2 linked regions of the Saccharomyces cerevisiae S288C genome follow. The gene in region 1 interacts genetically with each later gene. Each region holds a gene or a part of one and is shown in the gene's direction. Other genes may lie near its edges. The genes, in order: LRG1 and VRG4.

Evidence for each region.
Region 2: mutations in LRG1 (region 1) and VRG4 together harm fitness more than expected from each alone (negative genetic interaction), as found in Saccharomyces cerevisiae (one large-scale study listed by BioGRID).

The regions. Positions count from the first base shown.
Region 1 is NC_001136.10:18,983-29,535, forward strand, and holds LRG1 (GTPase-activating protein LRG1), read left to right. Parts: upstream 1-3,840; coding exon 3,841-6,894; downstream 6,895-10,553. Other genes in the region: YDL242W (uncharacterized protein), read left to right, coding at 1-330; YDL241W (uncharacterized protein), read left to right, coding at 1,653-2,024; ADY3 (Ady3p), read right to left, coding at 7,421-9,793; GUD1 (guanine deaminase), read right to left, coding at 10,003-10,553. UniProt on the Saccharomyces cerevisiae protein: Acts in signal transduction. Activates CDC42, RHO1 and RHO2. Negatively regulates 1,3-beta-glucan synthesis. May be responsible for the down-regulation of CDC42 during mating.
Region 2 is NC_001139.9:73,767-81,928, forward strand, and holds VRG4 (GDP-mannose transporter), read left to right. Parts: upstream 1-3,127; coding exon 3,128-4,141; downstream 4,142-8,162. Other genes in the region: SDT1 (nucleotidase), read right to left, coding at 4,249-5,091; Golgi transport complex subunit COG1, read right to left, coding at 5,346-6,599; EDC1 (Edc1p), read right to left, coding at 6,893-7,420; NIF3 (uncharacterized protein), read right to left, coding at 7,660-8,162. UniProt on the Saccharomyces cerevisiae protein: Involved in the import of GDP-mannose from the cytoplasm into the Golgi lumen. Defective copy causes severe glycosylation defect and abnormal retention of soluble endoplasmic reticulum proteins. Involved in vanadate sensitivity.

The DNA.
Region 1 (10,553 bases):
AATAGGGGTACGCTTAATATTAAAAAAATATTAGTAATTGTTTGTATGACGAATAAAATTTGTAAGCACCTGATCCAATCCTTATTATTGAGCAAGAGACGTCTTGTTTCTGTACTCTTTGATAACTATCAAGGCGACATGAAACTAAGGTCATCTCCATCTGCCATTCCTCTAGTTCCGTCAACGAAAATTCTTCAAGCTATGGAGGCCCGGAACGACATTGTTGACAGTCTGATCATCAATAGTCACGCAACGGAAAGTGATCGCCGGACTTTAGGAGACCATGAGGTTAGACAATGTGAGGATACCAACTTCGGCTTCAAAATTTGATACAGGTTAATTTTGAAGGCAACATTTAGGTTCGGCCTTATTTAAAAAAACCTTCAGGTACGCGTTCAAGATCCCATTTTAAAGGTATAGGCAGATTGCACTATTTTACCGGCAAATGTGCGAATATCGAAACTGGAAGATGTTTTCAAGAAAATTGATTTAAGATCCATTTGTCGTGTTTAGAGTTCTCATTGTTCTGGTCAATGATTTCAAACTCAAAAGGCACAAGAAACTTACAAAATTTGTTTCTTATGAACATTACGCCATGTTCTTTGCGAGCATGTGCTATACAGTCTTGCTAGAAAATGGCCCTATAATTAGAAAGCTCAAAAAATAACCCAATGCTGCATCGATTTTTGGAGAAAGGGGGTCAATCATCATCTATCTTCATAAATAACGAGTTGCAGAAAAATTGGAAACTGGTTGATTTTGAAAAGTTTTCATTTTTCTGGCAACAAATTATAGCTACAAAAAAAGAAGTTATGGCGCATAAGATGCATCAATATATGGTGTGACCAGATTGGACGTAACTAGTACTCATGTTATTATTCATATCCTTCATTTTTCCTTCTTTTCTTCTCCTTCTCGAACAGTAACTTCAGATTGAAAGACGTGAGGATGCTTTAGAATGCACATTAAAATTAATATACTACTGGCCTCTTGTGTTTGTCATTGGCTTCTATTTTCAATAAAACATCCAGACAACCCTGCTGTTAATTTTGGAAAAAAAATTTCGCCGATTCTAATCATGTGACTCCTTTTCCCCAGGCAATACCGGAGAAAGCGTTCTATCTCAAACTATATAATTTGCGCTGCTCGTCTCCAAGCCCATGCTAGTGTTTACTTTCGGTTGTAAAAGGTAACTAGAAGTTTTAACGCAAGCATTGTATTATATTTTCCCACAATTGCTCTTAAGGACCTTTTTTTTTCTTGCGTGATCCTGCACTATTGAAAAGTCTTTATCAAAAATAGATGAAACTTTTTCAGGGTTCAACATTTAGAGGCTTTTCTCATATTCTTTACTCAGTTGCCTGCGAAGACCCTTCTGCCCGCTGCGCATTTTCTTAGAAAATCAAAAAAATTGCCTTTTCATCTTTTACCTTCCGAGTTGAATATGTTGACTATTTGCAAACAGGCGTATGATTGTCGTATATAACAGGGCACTTTCGGCAGTGAATCAATAGGAGGCGTATAAGAAAAGCCAATTAGTACCTATATATATATATATATATATATATATATATATATATTCCTTTATTATAATTCCTATCAGCGATTTTTGCATCACACCCAAGAAAAATCTATAATAGAGACACAAAAAAATGAACGTAACTGAAAATGCTCTATTGTTTAAGTGCGGTAGCAAGGGCTATATTAATCAAACCTATACGCCGACAGAAATTTATAATTGTGGGGTAGCTGAAGGAAAGAAAACTGCTAAAGAAAAGAACCCAACTTATTCAATTTTTTATGATACATTTCTCACTGGGCAGCCTGCTGAAAGTCCTGAAACGTTTACGTGTGGTTCGCATGGCTTCACAAATGCGAGTTATGTGGCAAGCGACTTTTATGCATGTGGTTTTCTGCAAGGGAAAGGTACAGAAACCAATGCGGGAATACATAATACAAGGCCTTCTCATTCTCTCGCCAAATTTACCATACTGTTCATGCTAGTGTTGTATACAATTGTCTAATTCTCAAGGTATGACACTTTGGATTGGTGGTCGCAGTAGCCACCATATAATTTTTTATCGTTTCTACATATAATACGAGACAGTCAGACAGAACTTTGGGTCGCCTGAGAAGAAAGACTATAAAAATGTAACCCGTCAGTAGGACTCATCTTAAAACAGTGGGTAATTTACTAAGGAGGCTGGAAAAACTGCGATAATCGGCTTATAGTACATATATATAGAATAATCATTAATCGAGCCTTTACCGCGAAATTCATGGATTTCTCAAAAACAAAGGTGCAATTACATGTTAAGCACCGAATTTCTATGCGAAACAGGTCCGTCTCATCAGTCATAGCTTTCCAAGTATATAAAACTTGAACGCAAAAGTGCGTCATCGACGCCTTTTTTTGCGCAAGGATTGTTACTATTCATTTAATGAACTCTGATGTCTTAATAAGCCAATGGTATCCATAAGTGAAGGTGAAGTCTACTGTGTTACATTAGCAAGTCAGAACTCCTATACGATACAGTATACTGCATTATGGGCACTAAAATAATTTAGATTATAGAAAATATCGATACTATGCTTCCACTTCTCACGAAGCGGCCATGTTTTAAATGAAGTACGTTAACGCTAACACAAGGCTTGACAACTTTCATGAGCGTCAAATAGTCTACGTGTGGGCTCACTTTTTCAGATTTCTTCTTGGCTTTTGTGAGATGTATAATTAACAATAATCATAAAATCGCTACATAAAACAAAGCATAAAAAATTACAGATTTCCTGTTCAAAAATCAAATCGGTCCAGTTCAGCTATTGTTCTGCCGTTGTTCATGCTCAGAAAATTGGACCATGGTGTCATCTAACTTTAGTTGGTCCCATTAAGCTCTCTTCTGTATATCATGTTTGCCATATTGTCATATCATCTGCTTAGTATTAAACCGTTGTGGAAAACAAGAAAATTGCGAATTACTAGTATAGAAAATGCATTCTAAGTCGCCTGTGATTCCAATAGCAAAGAAATTGATCTTAATGGAAGTAGGAAATAGCTGTGGCAAAGAGACAGGATACTAAGATTGGTTTAAGGCGAGGTCATACTTAGCTATTTCCTTCACCAACATTGGTTTTCGAACAGTCAAGAGATGAAAACGCAAAAAAGTGCACTATAAAGTAAATACTCAAACGTTCCCAAAACAAAACGAGAAGAAGCGATAGGCACCTCAAAACTGAAATTATGGGCAAACAATATAACCCGTAAAAGATCACTTTACGACCAGAACATAATCAACATGGGTGGCCCCCATGTTGTACTCAGTTAGCTTTTTGAGCTAGCAAATATATCAAGAAGCCCGCATGTGCTACTTACGTTTGAATTACTTCTCGTTGTAACGCACTTTTCTACAACGTACCTCACTAGTAAATATAACTTAATGCTTGCAGGTTAGCCCATCGCTACAACACCTCCCCACAAAGTATTTACTTCAAGAAATCGATCTTGGCGAGTATATCCTTATCTTTATGTAAGTATCTTTTTCGTCTTCAAAGTATGCCGGGTATTGATGGGCACGGAAGATGTAAACAAAATGGAAAACAAATAAGAACAGAATCTGAAACGTCATTTGAGAATTTAAAATATGTAAATCATTCCTCTCGAGCCAACCAAGGCTGTTCTTGCTAGAAACCAGCAATTGGGCTTCTCATTCAAAACAGTATCCGTCTTTGCCTTAACATTGTTATTTGGCCTTTATCCCAGATATACGCAACCGTATTTATTCAAATCCAAAGAAAAAAAGAGCAGACAAATTATCAAACAACAAGTACCGGAGGTGAGCAATGATTCAAAATTCTGCTGGTTATCGATCGCTGAATACTGCATCTCCGATGACCGTGCAGGTGAAGAATCAGAAGAAAATATGCGCCCGTTGTAACAAGTTAGTTATACCCGATAGCCAACGAACTAAAACAACTTTAAAGGCTCTCGGTAAATATTATCATGAAAGTTGTTTTACCTGCCAAGACTGTCAGAAACCTTTAAAACCGAAGTACTTCCCATATCAAGTAGACAAGACAAGTGAATCTATATTGTTATGCCAATACGATTATTTTAGAAGACATAATTTGTTATGTCATGTATGTGATACCCCATTGCGTGGATTATATTATACCGCATTCGGTTACAGATACGACGAAGAGCATTTTTCTTGTACAATATGTGCTACTCCTTGTGGGGTTAAAAAATGCTTCATGTACGGAAACCAATTGTATTGCAAGTACCACTTTCTCAAGTATTTTTCGAAACGTTGCAAAGGGTGCGAGTTCCCAATATCGGATCAATATATCGAGTTTCCTAAAGGTGAAGAAATACATTGTTGGCATCCGGAATGTTATGGAATTCATAAATATTGGCATGTAAATTTAGCAGCAGAAACTGTTGGTTTGCAGTACCTTCCCAAGCTGGAATATAACCCAAATTCCGGAGACAAAGATATAAACCCAACTGCCTACGAGTTAGATAAACAAATGCAGGCGTTTAACTTTATTCTATCTAAAACGTGGTCGGTTTTATATCGTTTTGAGGAAGAGGCAGCTTCTTGCATTTCTGATATGTTTCAATATTTGACAAGCAATGATCAGTTAAAGGGCATAGAGTCTACGGGTCTGTTGGTACTAAAAATCGACTGTCTTTTCCGGGGACTGGATACTTTAAACCTCTCGACGAACAAAAGTATGCCAGTTAACAGTGATCAAGAATGCATTGAAAACAACGCAATGGCGGCCAGTAAATACAGCAAGTTTCCCAAAAATCTGTCCACAAAAATTATGATATATTTACAACTCTTAAGAAAGTTAGGGACAGAAAACAAAAACGAAACTATCACAATTTCATCTTTTATGTCTGTTATTACTGGATTAGCCCATTTTCTAAAACTGTTAACAAGATTTGGGCTATATACGGCTCTAGAAAACAATAAGTTGACTCATTCTGTTAATCCATTGTTGAGGTTTTTAAGAGAAGTAGAGAAAAATGAGCTTTTTGAAAATAACCCGTTTCAGTATATAAAGACTCCTGTTAACGCCACAGATAGTTGCGCTGGATGCAATAAATACATACAGGAGGAATGCATTCAATTTTATGAGCACCGGTGGCATATTGCTTGTTTTACTTGTTCTTCATGCCATAAGAATATAAATCCGAGGAGTTTGACGGATCCCACCTTTAATAAAGAGAAAAAAAAGATACTATGTTCTCACTGCTCAATTGATGATCCGGCCTCTGTGCCGGGTTTCAAATTTGTTACTAAGCTAGCACAACTAATTTTTCTTCTAAAAATTGCCCTAGTCAAATCAAGAACTGTAATGTTGAAATCGAAAGCATCTAACAAGGTAGGCAGAAACTCTTTACAGAGTACTATGCTAAAGGAACAAACTTACATTAGGACACTGAATGATATTAAAAGATTGAGATCTAGAAGAGAAAGTGTTCGGGTCACTCATAACAAACAACAAGCTAGAAAATCAGTGATACTGGAAACTGCAGAGACAGATTTAAATGACCCGACAAAACAAGGAGATAGTAAAAATCTTGTGATTCAAACAGATGACCCATCATCGAGCCAACAAGTGAGCACACGTGAAAATGTTTTCAGTAATACTAAGACGTTGACACTAGATGATATTTCACGTATTGTTGCCGCTGAACAAGCAAGGGAGCTAAGACCTAACGCTTTTGCACACTTTAAAAAACTAAAAGAAACCGATGACGAAACTTCGAATGTTGTTCCCAAGAAAAGCGGAGTTTATTACTCTGAATTAAGTACGATGGAACTCTCGATGATAAGGGCTATCAGTTTGTCACTGCTAGCTGGTAAACAACTGATATCGAAGACTGATCCTAACTATACTAGCTTAGTCTCAATGGTCTTCTCGAATGAAAAGCAAGTCACAGGTAGCTTTTGGAACAGAATGAAAATCATGATGAGCATGGAGCCTAAAAAGCCCATCACTAAGACTGTTTTTGGTGCTCCTTTAGATGTGTTGTGCGAGAAATGGGGTGTTGATTCCGATTTAGGTGTGGGGCCAGTGAAGATTAGGATCCCCATAATTATTGACGAGCTAATATCATCTTTGAGGCAAATGGATATGTCAGTAGAAGGTATTTTCAGGAAAAATGGAAATATCAGAAGACTGAGAGAACTAACTGCTAACATCGACAGTAATCCAACAGAAGCTCCAGACTTCTCGAAAGAAAATGCAATCCAATTATCTGCTCTTTTGAAGAAATTTATCAGAGAGCTTCCCCAACCGATTTTATCGACAGACTTATATGAACTATGGATTAAGGCCGCGAAAATTGATTTAGAGGATGAGAAACAGCGTGTTATATTGCTAATATATTCCTTATTACCCACTTACAATCGCAATTTACTGGAGGCACTTTTGTCATTTTTGCATTGGACGTCCTCATTCTCTTACATTGAGAATGAAATGGGATCAAAAATGGACATTCACAATTTATCCACAGTCATAACACCTAATATTTTATATTTGCGACATAAAGAAATTTCCAATGATAACGTCCCTGACGAACCAGAATCAGGTTTAGTTGATTCATTCGCTCAAAACAAGGGAGAAAATTACTTTTTGGCTATTGAGATAGTTGATTACCTGATTACTCACAATGAAGAAATGGCAATGGTTCCGAAATTTTTAATGAATCTTTTAAAAGATGTGCAGTTACAAAAATTAGATAACTACGAATCAATCAACCATTTTATTTCCACCGTTATGCAAAGTAAAACAATCGATTATTCCGAATGTGACATAAAAACTCCTGTCACAGTCAAAGATTCGACCACAACGGTCATACAAGGTGAAATAAACAAATAATAGGCAGAAACTGTAAGTTTCCCCTCATTTTCCTTTTTTTCTTCTCCTTCCCCTCAGATTTCGAGGTTTGTCGTTCTTATTAGAGTTCTTTGCTTTTTTCTTTGCCTATTTCAATAAAATCTTACCAGTATGCTATGGAAATGGACATTATTTTATTATTATACAACATAGTATATTCTGACTAAAATGGAATTAGAAATTGTAACATTAGTATGTACTTATAATCATTTGTATCATTGTATTACTCGCCTTTTGATGTAAATTTTGTTTATATCTCAGAACATCTCCAACAGCAGATCAGAAGTTACATTGTTCTTGTAAGTGCTTAAGAAGTCTGTTAGCAAATTGAAATCTTTCAGAAGAATATTCCACCAAAATTTCGGAAAAGCAATACCAGCGGTAAAATATCTGCCATGCTCTATATTATGTGACTTTATTTTAGGTGCACCCCCCACCAGTAACTTATTCTCTAAATAATAATTAATGACACCATTGAATATATTAGTTCTAAATAAAAAAAAAAAAGCTAAGAAAAGAAATATTTAAACAACGCTTGCAAATCATACTCAAGAGGATGCTTTACTTCAGCAATATCATGATTGTTCAAAAACTCATTCATTGCGACCTTTCTTCTACTTTTGAAATCTAACTGTTTACCAAAAACCTTAAGGTTCAAATCATTAGCAAATTTTGTGAGAAGTGTAAGCTCACATCTAAGTTGAATGACAATTGTTGGTACAATTTTTAAGAAGGTTTTTAATGGGATATCCAACACAATTAATAAATTTTTGATTAGATTTTGCGATTGCACATAGGTAAGGTCTGTCAGAATATCAAGACCCAAGGAGTCGTACTTTTCCTTCGTTATATGTGGAAAAGATTTTCCAACAGTTTCAAAATTAAGTTCGGTAGAAGGATCACCATATAGTTTTTTTAAATTCAGCTTCTCTTGGAATACATCTTCTTTTAGTGATAGAATTGTTTCTTCGAGTTTTAATATTTCACTTTGTTTTCCAGCTAACTCGTCAGTAATTTTCTTATGTGTGTTTTCTGACTCTTGAATTTGAGTGCTCCATCTTGAAGCAATCAAAGCCTGATTCTGAAGTTTCTCAACAATTTCCTGGTGTTCATTCATGTAATCGTTCAATTTATCTTCGGCATTTTTCTGAATTTTTTCACTTAGTATTAATTTTTCTTTTAACTCGCTCTTCAGTTTTTGAAAGTTTTCTTCCTTGAGGTTCAGGATATCATGCCATCTCCTTTTTTCCAAACGAAATTGTTGTTCTTTTGTTAACGCCTCTTTTTGAAGATATTTTATTTTGTGACTGTGCTGCTGTTGCATAAAATGTAATCTTTCATTAATCAATTTAAAGACAGAAATGATTTTTTCAAGACGTATACGGTCATTCTTTTCCAAAAGTTCTATCTTTCCTTTTAATTGTTTGTATTGCTCCATATTTTCAAGATTTTTGATATCTTGAAAATCCGGATAAAGCTTGGCAAAACCGTTTTGAAACATCGAAGGGGAATGGCCACATTTCATTTCTTCTAGTATGAATTTACCAAGGTCTTTCTCAAAAAGAGAAAGATTTTGCATATAGCTGTAAACATCATTTAACCTTTTCTCGTAAAACGAACCATTATCATGTAATTTTTTATTTTCATCTTGAGAAAGTTGCAAATTGCTTTTCAGTATTTCAACTTCAGATCTTAATTTTACTATAGAGTTATTCGATTCGTTAATATCTTTTAGAAATTTATCATTTTCTTGCTGCAAGTTTAGGATTTGTTTTTGCTTCCTGTATAGTTCCGAAACTAAAATATTTCTTTGAGAAAAAGCTTTACATTTAGTTTTGGCACTAGTCACTTCATTCTTCTCCTTCTTGCTAGCGTTTTTGTTTTGAAAGTCTGTAATTTTTTCTTCTCTAATTTTTTTAATTTCTTTGCGAAACCGGTCCTGAACAATGTTGAGCCTTTTTGATGCAGCTTTTCTTTCGTTGTGGAATTCCTTCTGCAAGTCTTCTATTCTTTGAAGTTTAGCATCATTCATGCTATTAAGTTCTTCTAGTTCTTGAATCCTGTCATCCTTCTCTTCTAGTTTTTGTCTTAGTGCTTTGATCTCTTCATTTTGGGACTGGAGCTCATCTAATACCTTGGGTAAACTATTTTCTTTAGAAATACTTCCTCCATATGATGAAGAAGATAGCCTAATTTCTCCTAATTTCATATATTCGGACTGTTCTTCATCTGGAGTTTTAGATGAGCGAAATACGTTCTCTAGATGCGCAACCTCTATATTCTCCTCCAGACTCTCATTGCTTACAACATAATGCTCATCATTTGAGATTGCTGCGACTTTGTGGGGATTCGTGAGGAGCTTTGTAGGTGTAGAAGAAAATCTATTCACTTCAATACTATTGTGTACTTTGTATGTGGTAAATTTACCAGGGCTTACATTTCCTAATGTACTGGGCTTTCCTGCAGGTGACAGAGCCTGCGAGCCTATTCCTACAGTTGGTAAACCACCCCTTTGTAGAAATTTATTAGGCGATTTTAAAGTATTTTTTTCCGTAGCATTTTCCAATGTACTAATGTTACCAGAAGGTGAAGAGGCTTCTGAACCTGCCCAACTCTCTGAGCGGTTTCTTCGGGAACGCCTATTCGACAGTTTTGATATAATATCAGAAGAAATACTTTCCTGCACATTAGATTTTTCAGTGGACGTAGGTACTTCAGAGTCTATCCAAGTTTGTGAACGCCGCTCTCGAAAAGGTTTACTTTCTGGAGACTTAGTTAAAGTGCCATCAGTAACATGTCTCATCTCCCCCTGCTGGTCGCAATCCGAGTTTTGTTCCTTTAGGGATTCAGGCTTATTCAAAAATGCTAACCAATGATTCATATTCGGAGAAGTTTGTTGTATTCAACTATCCCATTCAAAATCCCAAACCGAGTTTTGCAATTCTTTCACTGGCAAATCTCTTTGTGTTCCTAATCTTAATATTGTACAATGGGCGGCTAAAGCGCGATACGCAAAAGAAATTTGTACATATACTCAAATTACTCATTAATACTTGGAACAAGATATAGTAGCCCTCTAAACATATACAACTAAATCTGGTAGACTTGCTGGCCGGCTACCCAAACTTTAGTGGTGTTGCGATCATCACCGTTAAAGAACCATTTTGCGATTATGTCTTCATTAGTAAGCAGCGGTGGGTTCTTATAAGGGTCTTGCCCTTGCTCTTGCTCTTGCTCTTGCATTTGATCCTTCTCCTTTAGCTGCCAATGAAACATATCCACGTTTGAGCCGGGAGCATTGGTATCGATCATTTGAGCGTCAAACTGCTTACCGACGTCAAAAGTCCCCAAGGTCTCATCCATACGCAAGACTTGTGCTCCGCCCATTGTAGCAAGAAATAGGCACTCGGAGACTGAAAGTTTTGCATGATCAGTTTCTCTCATTGCCAAATGCCTTGAAACTGCAAAGGCCTGCCTTCCGGTGGTGAGTATGCTACAAGAATGACCGGCTGAAACGTCGGTGCCTAGACCAACCTTTATGCCCTGGTCCAGCAACCATCGAACCCTACACTCTCCAGAAGTCAGAGAGGAGTTGGAAATGGGACAATGAGATATACCACAGCGACGCTGTTTAATCACAC
Region 2 (8,162 bases), on another chromosome or scaffold:
CATTTTTTATCATTCATTATCTATCCCTGTAAATAAACTAATATAAAAATTCAAAAAAATAATGATTTCGCCCAGGATCGAACTGGGGACGTTCTGCGTGTTAAGCAGATGCCATAACCGACTAGACCACGAAACCACTTAATTGAAATATACAACCCCAAGATAAGATACTTGCTTCATAGTTTAGTTGTAAAATTGAAGTTCAGTACAACATGGCACTAGTATAAAAAAAAGTTTACCAGCCATTACTGCGCACTTACCTACATTAGTCACTCTTAGCGTATATTCTAAATACGCTTAGAGACGTCTCCTTACTATTTTTCATACGTATAACTCTCAAAGGACAGTATAGACATATCCCTGGGGGCTTTTAGAGTGCAGCCTCTGGAGGTCTACACACGTTAATAGTCTCAAAAAATACGCTAATATTTGTTAAATAAGCGAATAGGTCTTCATGTGCGCCTGAATCAGTAGCTGTCTACATGGTAAAGAGTAATTTGTTGACACGAAAATTGATAGTTGGTTAAAAAATATTGCAGATTCAATACTACATGAAAGACTTAATTACAAGATAGACTGATGGTGAAAAAAGAATGTACAGGTTTACCGGCAAACATTTTGAGAAATTAAAGCCCAAAAAATTTTGTGTACCTTATGATTTTCCTCCTCTGTCTAATCCAGTTCCGTATCTGGGTACTGCTGCTTCTTTGTTAAAATCGCAGCATGCTTCCCATTGTTGGGAATTGACTTTGAGCAATATTTAGTTAGTAACTACCATATAGGTGACTGTCGTGTGCCAGCTATAACAGAAATAATCCTTTCACCATGATCATTGTAAACGATCAAAGAAAACTCTGAAGGGACTATAATGCAGTCTTCATGCAGACACTTGAAATATACGACATTAGTAGCTCCCAAGGTAGTAGGCACATCCTGCGTAAATTCTCCACAACCATGTTGTATATATAGCAGCCATAGTATGACCGAGCACATGGGACGTACGAATAAAAGATTTTCTCAGATCCCTGAACTTGAGCGTCAACCATGAATTTCTCTACTTTTTTTTCGAGCAGTAATTACCATTTTAGGTTTGATTACAATCACAGCTTCAGCAGAATTTGATTTCGACGTAGGCTATGAAGAGTTTGTCCGTATCAACCCTGATAAGACCTTCTTAGAAAGTGAGATTGGCCTTTACGTTGGTTGGACCGAGGGTAGTCAACGGCAGATAACAACGATACCACATAATTCCACGTTGGCGGCATCACTACAAGAGTAGAATGGTTGTGGTGGTAATGGCACAGAAACCTCCATCGCTACGTCCACACTTACGATGAGTGGTATACCTATCGCTACGATAATGAAGCACAGAAAAAGTGTACTTATCATATTACCGCAACTATGTACGTGAGGTGTAAATTATGGCTCTCATAGGACATAAGTAGGACAGAAATTGAAATTTTTGTGTTGGCAGAGCGAAAGAAACTTGAATTCGTTTATGAGGAATAAATTCTCAGCTCCATCCATGGTTCCAGTTGACGCTATGATACGCAAATTCCTTTGTGATACAGGTATCATTTCTGCAATTCCTCGTAGATTGTTGATCATACCATAAGATTGATGCTGGGGAAAGTGGAGAAGCTAACTTAACGATTGAGGCCTTGGCAAACCCTGTTAAACCAGTACTATCGGCCTTAACATGCGACTTAGAGAGAGAGAGAGAGAGAGATGTTTGCGTTTGCGTCATGATAGAGATGCTACATCCACATAGTTGTTGTAGACATGTTTAAAGGTACAATTCTGCAACAACGCCTTGAAATTTTCCAAAACTAACCAAGCACATTGGAGTTACGCTTATATAGTAAGCCACTTCACTTGCGTTGCTGTAAAGGTTGATAACTACAGGTAGGAATTAATGAATGTTAAATAAAAAAGGGAAATACCATCATCTCGACAAGAAAGGCAAAATAACTTTTCAATCTCACCAAGACGCGCGAACGAAACTCGTGCGTCTATATTAGTATCTTGACGGCGCTTTTACATCATTAAAGGTGTAATAAAACTGAAGTCATGCGATGGCACTGAAATAATCAAAGTAACTATTTGTGATGGCATGCACTGTGATATGATCTCAAGGAAAAAAATGCAATGTCGGGCGCCAATACTTATGATCATGCTTAGTCTCGACATTGACCTTGCTTGCTACAGTAATCTGGTGTCCGAGTAGTGACATCTAGGTACCGGTGAGAACTATATCTTCATTACTACACTTGTCGCCCCTGAATATTATCGCTACACACGCGAAAGAGCTCTTGTTAAAGTTACTCTCGCATCATTGCGGTACATGTTTTGCATATTCATCTGAAGTAGGAAAGGGTATAAGCAGTATATGATGTACCATCTGCATAAGCGGTGTTTAATGCGTACCTATCGTTTAAGAACAAAAGGAACACACCCACACCCGCTCCAATACCATATTGAGAGAATAATGAGGTAACATATGCTTCTATTTGGTTCGATAAGACGGCTACTAGTCCAAAAAAAGTCAAACAACAATTTCAACAGCTACATTCTGAAGATAGAACGCATTTTTGCCTGAATATTGCAACTCAATAGACATTCTAAAGTGCTACGAGAAAAAAGCTTGTAATGGACCATGGCAATGTGCGCCATATATATATGCGGCTCCCTTATGAGTAGAAGAAAATATATGACTGGTGGTACAAAGTGGCATGGTGGTATATAGATGTAGGAACACCATTTGAGTTTGCCATAATGATTAAATTTCCCTTTTTATAAAGAATTAGCCGCCCATAACACGAAAAATATCACAGTTGACGAAAGAAGACACGTCGCCTAAACGCGTAATGAATCGCAATATACGAAAAGCTAAACGGGTTTTTCAGAATCCTCTTACCCAGCCTTGGATAATAGTTTTGGCCGAAAAAAAAAAAAAGAAAGAAAAAAATTGAAATTTCGCGATCCGAACAAACAATGAACAGAAAAACAGAATATATATAACGCTGCCAAGCCTATTTCTTGTTGCCGATTAATTGTTGACATCCTCTTAATTACCAAAAGAGCCTAAGAAAACAAACACACTAACCACACAGTATCTTTCGCCCGAATGTCTGAATTGAAAACAGGTCATGCAGGCCATAACCCTTGGGCTTCAGTTGCCAATTCCGGTCCGATCTCTATTTTATCCTACTGTGGTTCCTCTATTTTAATGACGGTGACTAACAAGTTCGTCGTCAATTTGAAGGATTTCAACATGAACTTTGTCATGCTTTTCGTGCAATCTTTGGTTTGTACTATAACCTTGATTATCCTACGTATACTGGGCTATGCGAAGTTCCGTTCATTAAACAAAACAGACGCCAAGAACTGGTTCCCTATTTCCTTTTTACTGGTCTTGATGATCTACACCTCTTCGAAGGCTTTACAATACTTGGCTGTTCCAATTTACACCATTTTCAAGAATTTGACTATTATCTTGATTGCTTATGGTGAGGTTCTCTTTTTTGGTGGCTCTGTCACCTCCATGGAATTGTCATCATTTTTGTTGATGGTCCTTTCTTCTGTCGTTGCAACTTGGGGTGACCAGCAAGCTGTGGCTGCCAAGGCTGCTTCATTGGCTGAAGGAGCAGCCGGTGCTGTTGCCTCCTTTAACCCAGGTTATTTCTGGATGTTCACCAACTGTATCACTTCTGCATTATTCGTTCTTATAATGAGAAAGAGAATTAAGTTAACTAACTTCAAGGATTTCGACACTATGTTTTACAACAATGTTTTGGCTCTACCTATTCTATTGCTGTTTTCTTTCTGTGTGGAAGATTGGTCTTCAGTTAATTTGACCAATAACTTTTCTAACGATTCGCTAACTGCTATGATCATCAGTGGTGTTGCATCCGTCGGTATTTCTTACTGTTCCGGTTGGTGTGTTCGTGTTACTTCGTCTACTACATATTCGATGGTAGGGGCTTTGAACAAGCTGCCAATTGCCTTGTCTGGTTTGATTTTCTTTGATGCTCCAAGAAACTTCTTATCTATTCTCTCCATTTTTATTGGTTTCCTATCAGGTATTATTTATGCTGTTGCCAAACAAAAGAAGCAACAAGCCCAACCTTTACGTAAATGAGAACTTACGGGGGGTGCAATTTATTTTTTTTTTTTGGTTTATTTTATTTTATAGAGGCATCTAATGCAAGTAGATTTATATACAATTATACTTAAAATTGATATACCTTAGAACAGGTCGGACACAACGTGTGGTAACTCCAATATATCACTAATGACAATAGCGCCTTCTGGTGTTTGCCCCAAAATTTCATTTACTTCATTCTCAACTAAATGAATACATGTTTTCATGCCCAATTTGATACCTGTCTCGATGTTTTTCCCACTGTCATCTATAAAATAAGCATTCTCGTATCTTGCCAACCCGCTTTCCTTCATGGCTTTTTCAAATGCTTTAACATGTGGTTTGCAGACCAGCGTATCTGTCCTAGAGTAGTCACAATATGTCAATCCATCAAATAAATCCGCTATACCCAACAATCTCAGGCAACGTATTGCGTGGTTTTTATAAGCGTTGGTGAAAAGCCACAATTTATCAATCTTTCCCGATTGTCTCAATCTCAACAGCATATTCCTTAATGGTATATCAGGTTTCAAGATATCTTGTAGTGGTAAGGAATCATCCACAAGCCGGTTATATTCCAGTGCGTTCACTTTGTGGAACATTACAAGTCCCCTTATGGCAAGTCCATACTCTTTGTAGTAAGAGTTATTCAAAACGTGAGCATCTTCAGGTGATAGTTTCAAGTGTGTTTGAAAGAACCTCAGTATAGATTGTTGCATAAGATCGTGAATTCTCGTGGATGATTTATAGAGACAGTTGTCGATATCAAAAAAGAAAACTTTTAAGTTCGGGTTTTGAGGTGTAGCAGAAATATCTTGATCGATCGGAAATGTCACTTTCGAACCTGGATGAGTCAATGATTCAAGATGTGCTTTATTCTTGGCAATTTGTTCGTTCACCTCATTCTGATAGGTTGCCAAATCGGATGCAGTATATTCAACAGTCATGAAGCCTAGTAATGATTCGGTCCAAGAGCTTACTCATGTATTCCGAAATTAATTCAGGTGAAATGGGGGAGTAATATGATATCAAGAAGGCGATCACTTATTGAAGTCCACATAGATACACACAGATAAACATATATATATTATGTATATATATATATATATATATATATATATATATATGTATATATCAACGCCCATACCATTATCATTATCAATAAGTTTGCGAGGCGGGTACCCTCCCTCGTGCTATTATATTACTGTTGCCTTAATTGAGTAATTTGATCGATGACTAATTGCAAGAGATTGTGATTGTTGTACGAAGTTATAAAATCATCCACAACACTCGTTGAGTTTTCCAGTGGTGAAGGTAAGCGGGATGAGATCTGAGTCTTAAACTCTTGCAATTGAGTAATCAATTTATTTCTCAAATCTGTCAGTGTCTCTTGAGGGCATTTATACAATTCTAAGTTTTGTAGGATTTCAATCGTAGGCTGCACCGTTTGATAAATTTGCAACGTGGTATCATTGGTTAAACCTTTTGAATAGAATACCGCTGTATCAATATATTGTTTCAATGCATCATCATCAAGTGGAGATACAGTGCCATCATTGAGGTTCGTATCATTATCATGGAAGATATCTAATTTATGAAGAGTTTCAGGCTCCTTAAGCTTGGCTCTCAAAGTAGAGAGTGTATCCAAATGTGTGTTTATTTCTTTCACGGTTCTCCGAATGAGATGGTCTCTAAAGGTGGACGAATTCACAAAATCGACAACAATCGCGTCCTTATATTGCTGATTGGAGTGATATTGATGATCTTTGCTGTTGGCACTTGATATCAGTAACGCTTGAACGTTATCGTTAAATAGTGTCTCGAATAGGGATTCATTGAATATAGAAAGTAAATCATCGTCCCACTTCGAGGAAAACTCCGTGTTTAGTAAATTGTATAGTTTTACCCACTGTAGTAAAGTTAAGTTTAATGTCTTCATAGAGTCCACCAAGAACTTCTGTAGTCGACAACATTTGTCCTTGACAAGCGCTTCAAATTTGGAAGGAACTGGTATCAAAGATAATTCGTGGAAATTCAACAGTAGCTCGTCGAATATCCGCGACGGAGTAGTGGAAGTAACTATACGATTACAGAAGTTGTTGATGGAGATGGTCCAATTTGAAATTACTAAAATGTTTTGCGATGGTATGCTGACTTTTTCTTCGTCACGAGGTGGTGATATATGGGTAGTGGTTTGGTATGGTAGTGGAGTTAACTTATTCAACTGAAATTTTTCATCATTGAAACACAGGGATTTAAAATCTTGATCAACATTTTTCAAATTGAGCGACAAGTCATTAACAGAATCGGTCAAGCTTAAGATCTTGTTATAGTTCTTTAGCAAATTCTTTTGGAAGGCCTCATTGGTTTTAGTCAAATCGTTCTGTAACTCCAATTGATAATCTTTAATCTGTGGAATATGAGAATCGCGAAACAATGGTAAGACTTCATCCATTTTCTATCGTATTGGTTTTTTTTAGGTTTTCTACCACAAGATTTGTTGTACGAATGTGTTATTTATTATTCACCGCCATGTTTCATTTTTCTTCAGCATAATGATGAACTGTAACAGAAAATAGGAAAAAAAAATTGTCATCTGAGAAATTGCTTTGGATGACCAGATCCAAAACAGACATAAGCATTCGTATAATTGGTACATAGGTATATATCAAATAAAAATATGCATTATTCTAAAAAAAAAAAAAAAAAAAAAAAAAAAAAAATCAAAAATGTCTCTCTAAAGGGTGATTATAAAAAACTTGGTTTGGGCAAGTTTTTAGCCTCCCTTGGACCATTAGTGGCGAAAGTGGAGCCTGCATAAGAGTGACTGAGTTTTTTGGCACTGCCATTACAACCCATTGGTATTATCCCTTGAGAGCCATGCGGGGATTGTTTCTGGTTCAGAAGCAGATTCTTTAGGTTCTGACTCAGTAAACGAGTATCATCTTTGTTGTTCTGTCGTGGCGTTTCTTTATTATTCTGTCTGTTTTTTTTACCTAAAGTAGTTGTAGAGGAAGGGGAAGAAGGTGGAGAGTGCTTCTTTTGATTAAATGATGGTTTCTTGTTGGAAGAATGGCCGAAGTTAGGTTTCTGACCGTTAGGAAGAGTTTGAGGAGGTGGTATATCTGTGATATAGTTGTTATTATTGGCGTTCTTAGCAGCATTTCCCCTCGCACGATTATTTCTAGTTTTTTGTTTGATTAGATTATTTGTCTTGTTCCTGCCAGCCGATGGCAACAGCCTGGAGCTGTTGAAATACATGGTATCCGTCGACATGCCTTGTAATATTTGTGTGAGTATATTTGTGTGCTAAGTGTAATTACGTTACGCTTTGCTGAGTACTTCGTCTTCAATACAGAGTATGTTATTGTCCTTGTTATTTGAAGACTTTTACCTTTTCTATCCGTATTTCTCTATCCGATACAACAACATCATTTTACACGAACAGCCGGATGATAAAACTGTAGTACGTATGGTATTTGTGATATCCTATATAGCCATATAATTACTAGCAGCTATGCAACAGTCAAAGGATCGCAATCCATTTTGCTTACGACTACTTCGTGGCCCTCATCTTGCAACAAGCCCTTCATAACGTCTTGAAGGAATCCACGCTCAGTATTTGAGTGGTTGCAAACAATAACGGTCTTGCCCATTTCTTTCCACTTCAGTACTTCATGATGTGACATTTCTCCCGTATAGTAAAGGTCTACGTCCTCTTTTAGTTGCTTAAACACGCCAGAACCGCTCCCGGCACAGACAGCGACTTTTTTGATTTTGAGTTGATTCCATGCGGATGGAGCAGCAAGAGATGCTACTTGTACATAGGGAACCCGTAAAACACGCTTGACATTTTTGACAATTTGCTCCAAAGAGATGTCTTTATTGAATTCTACGAATCTACCGTAGCCAATCAAGTCGTCAGTTTCGCCACTTACAGTTTCCAAGGCATAAGACTTTGCGACGTTCTCTCCGTTGTTCAAACCCCTAACCAACCAGTCATTTACACCGCCACGAG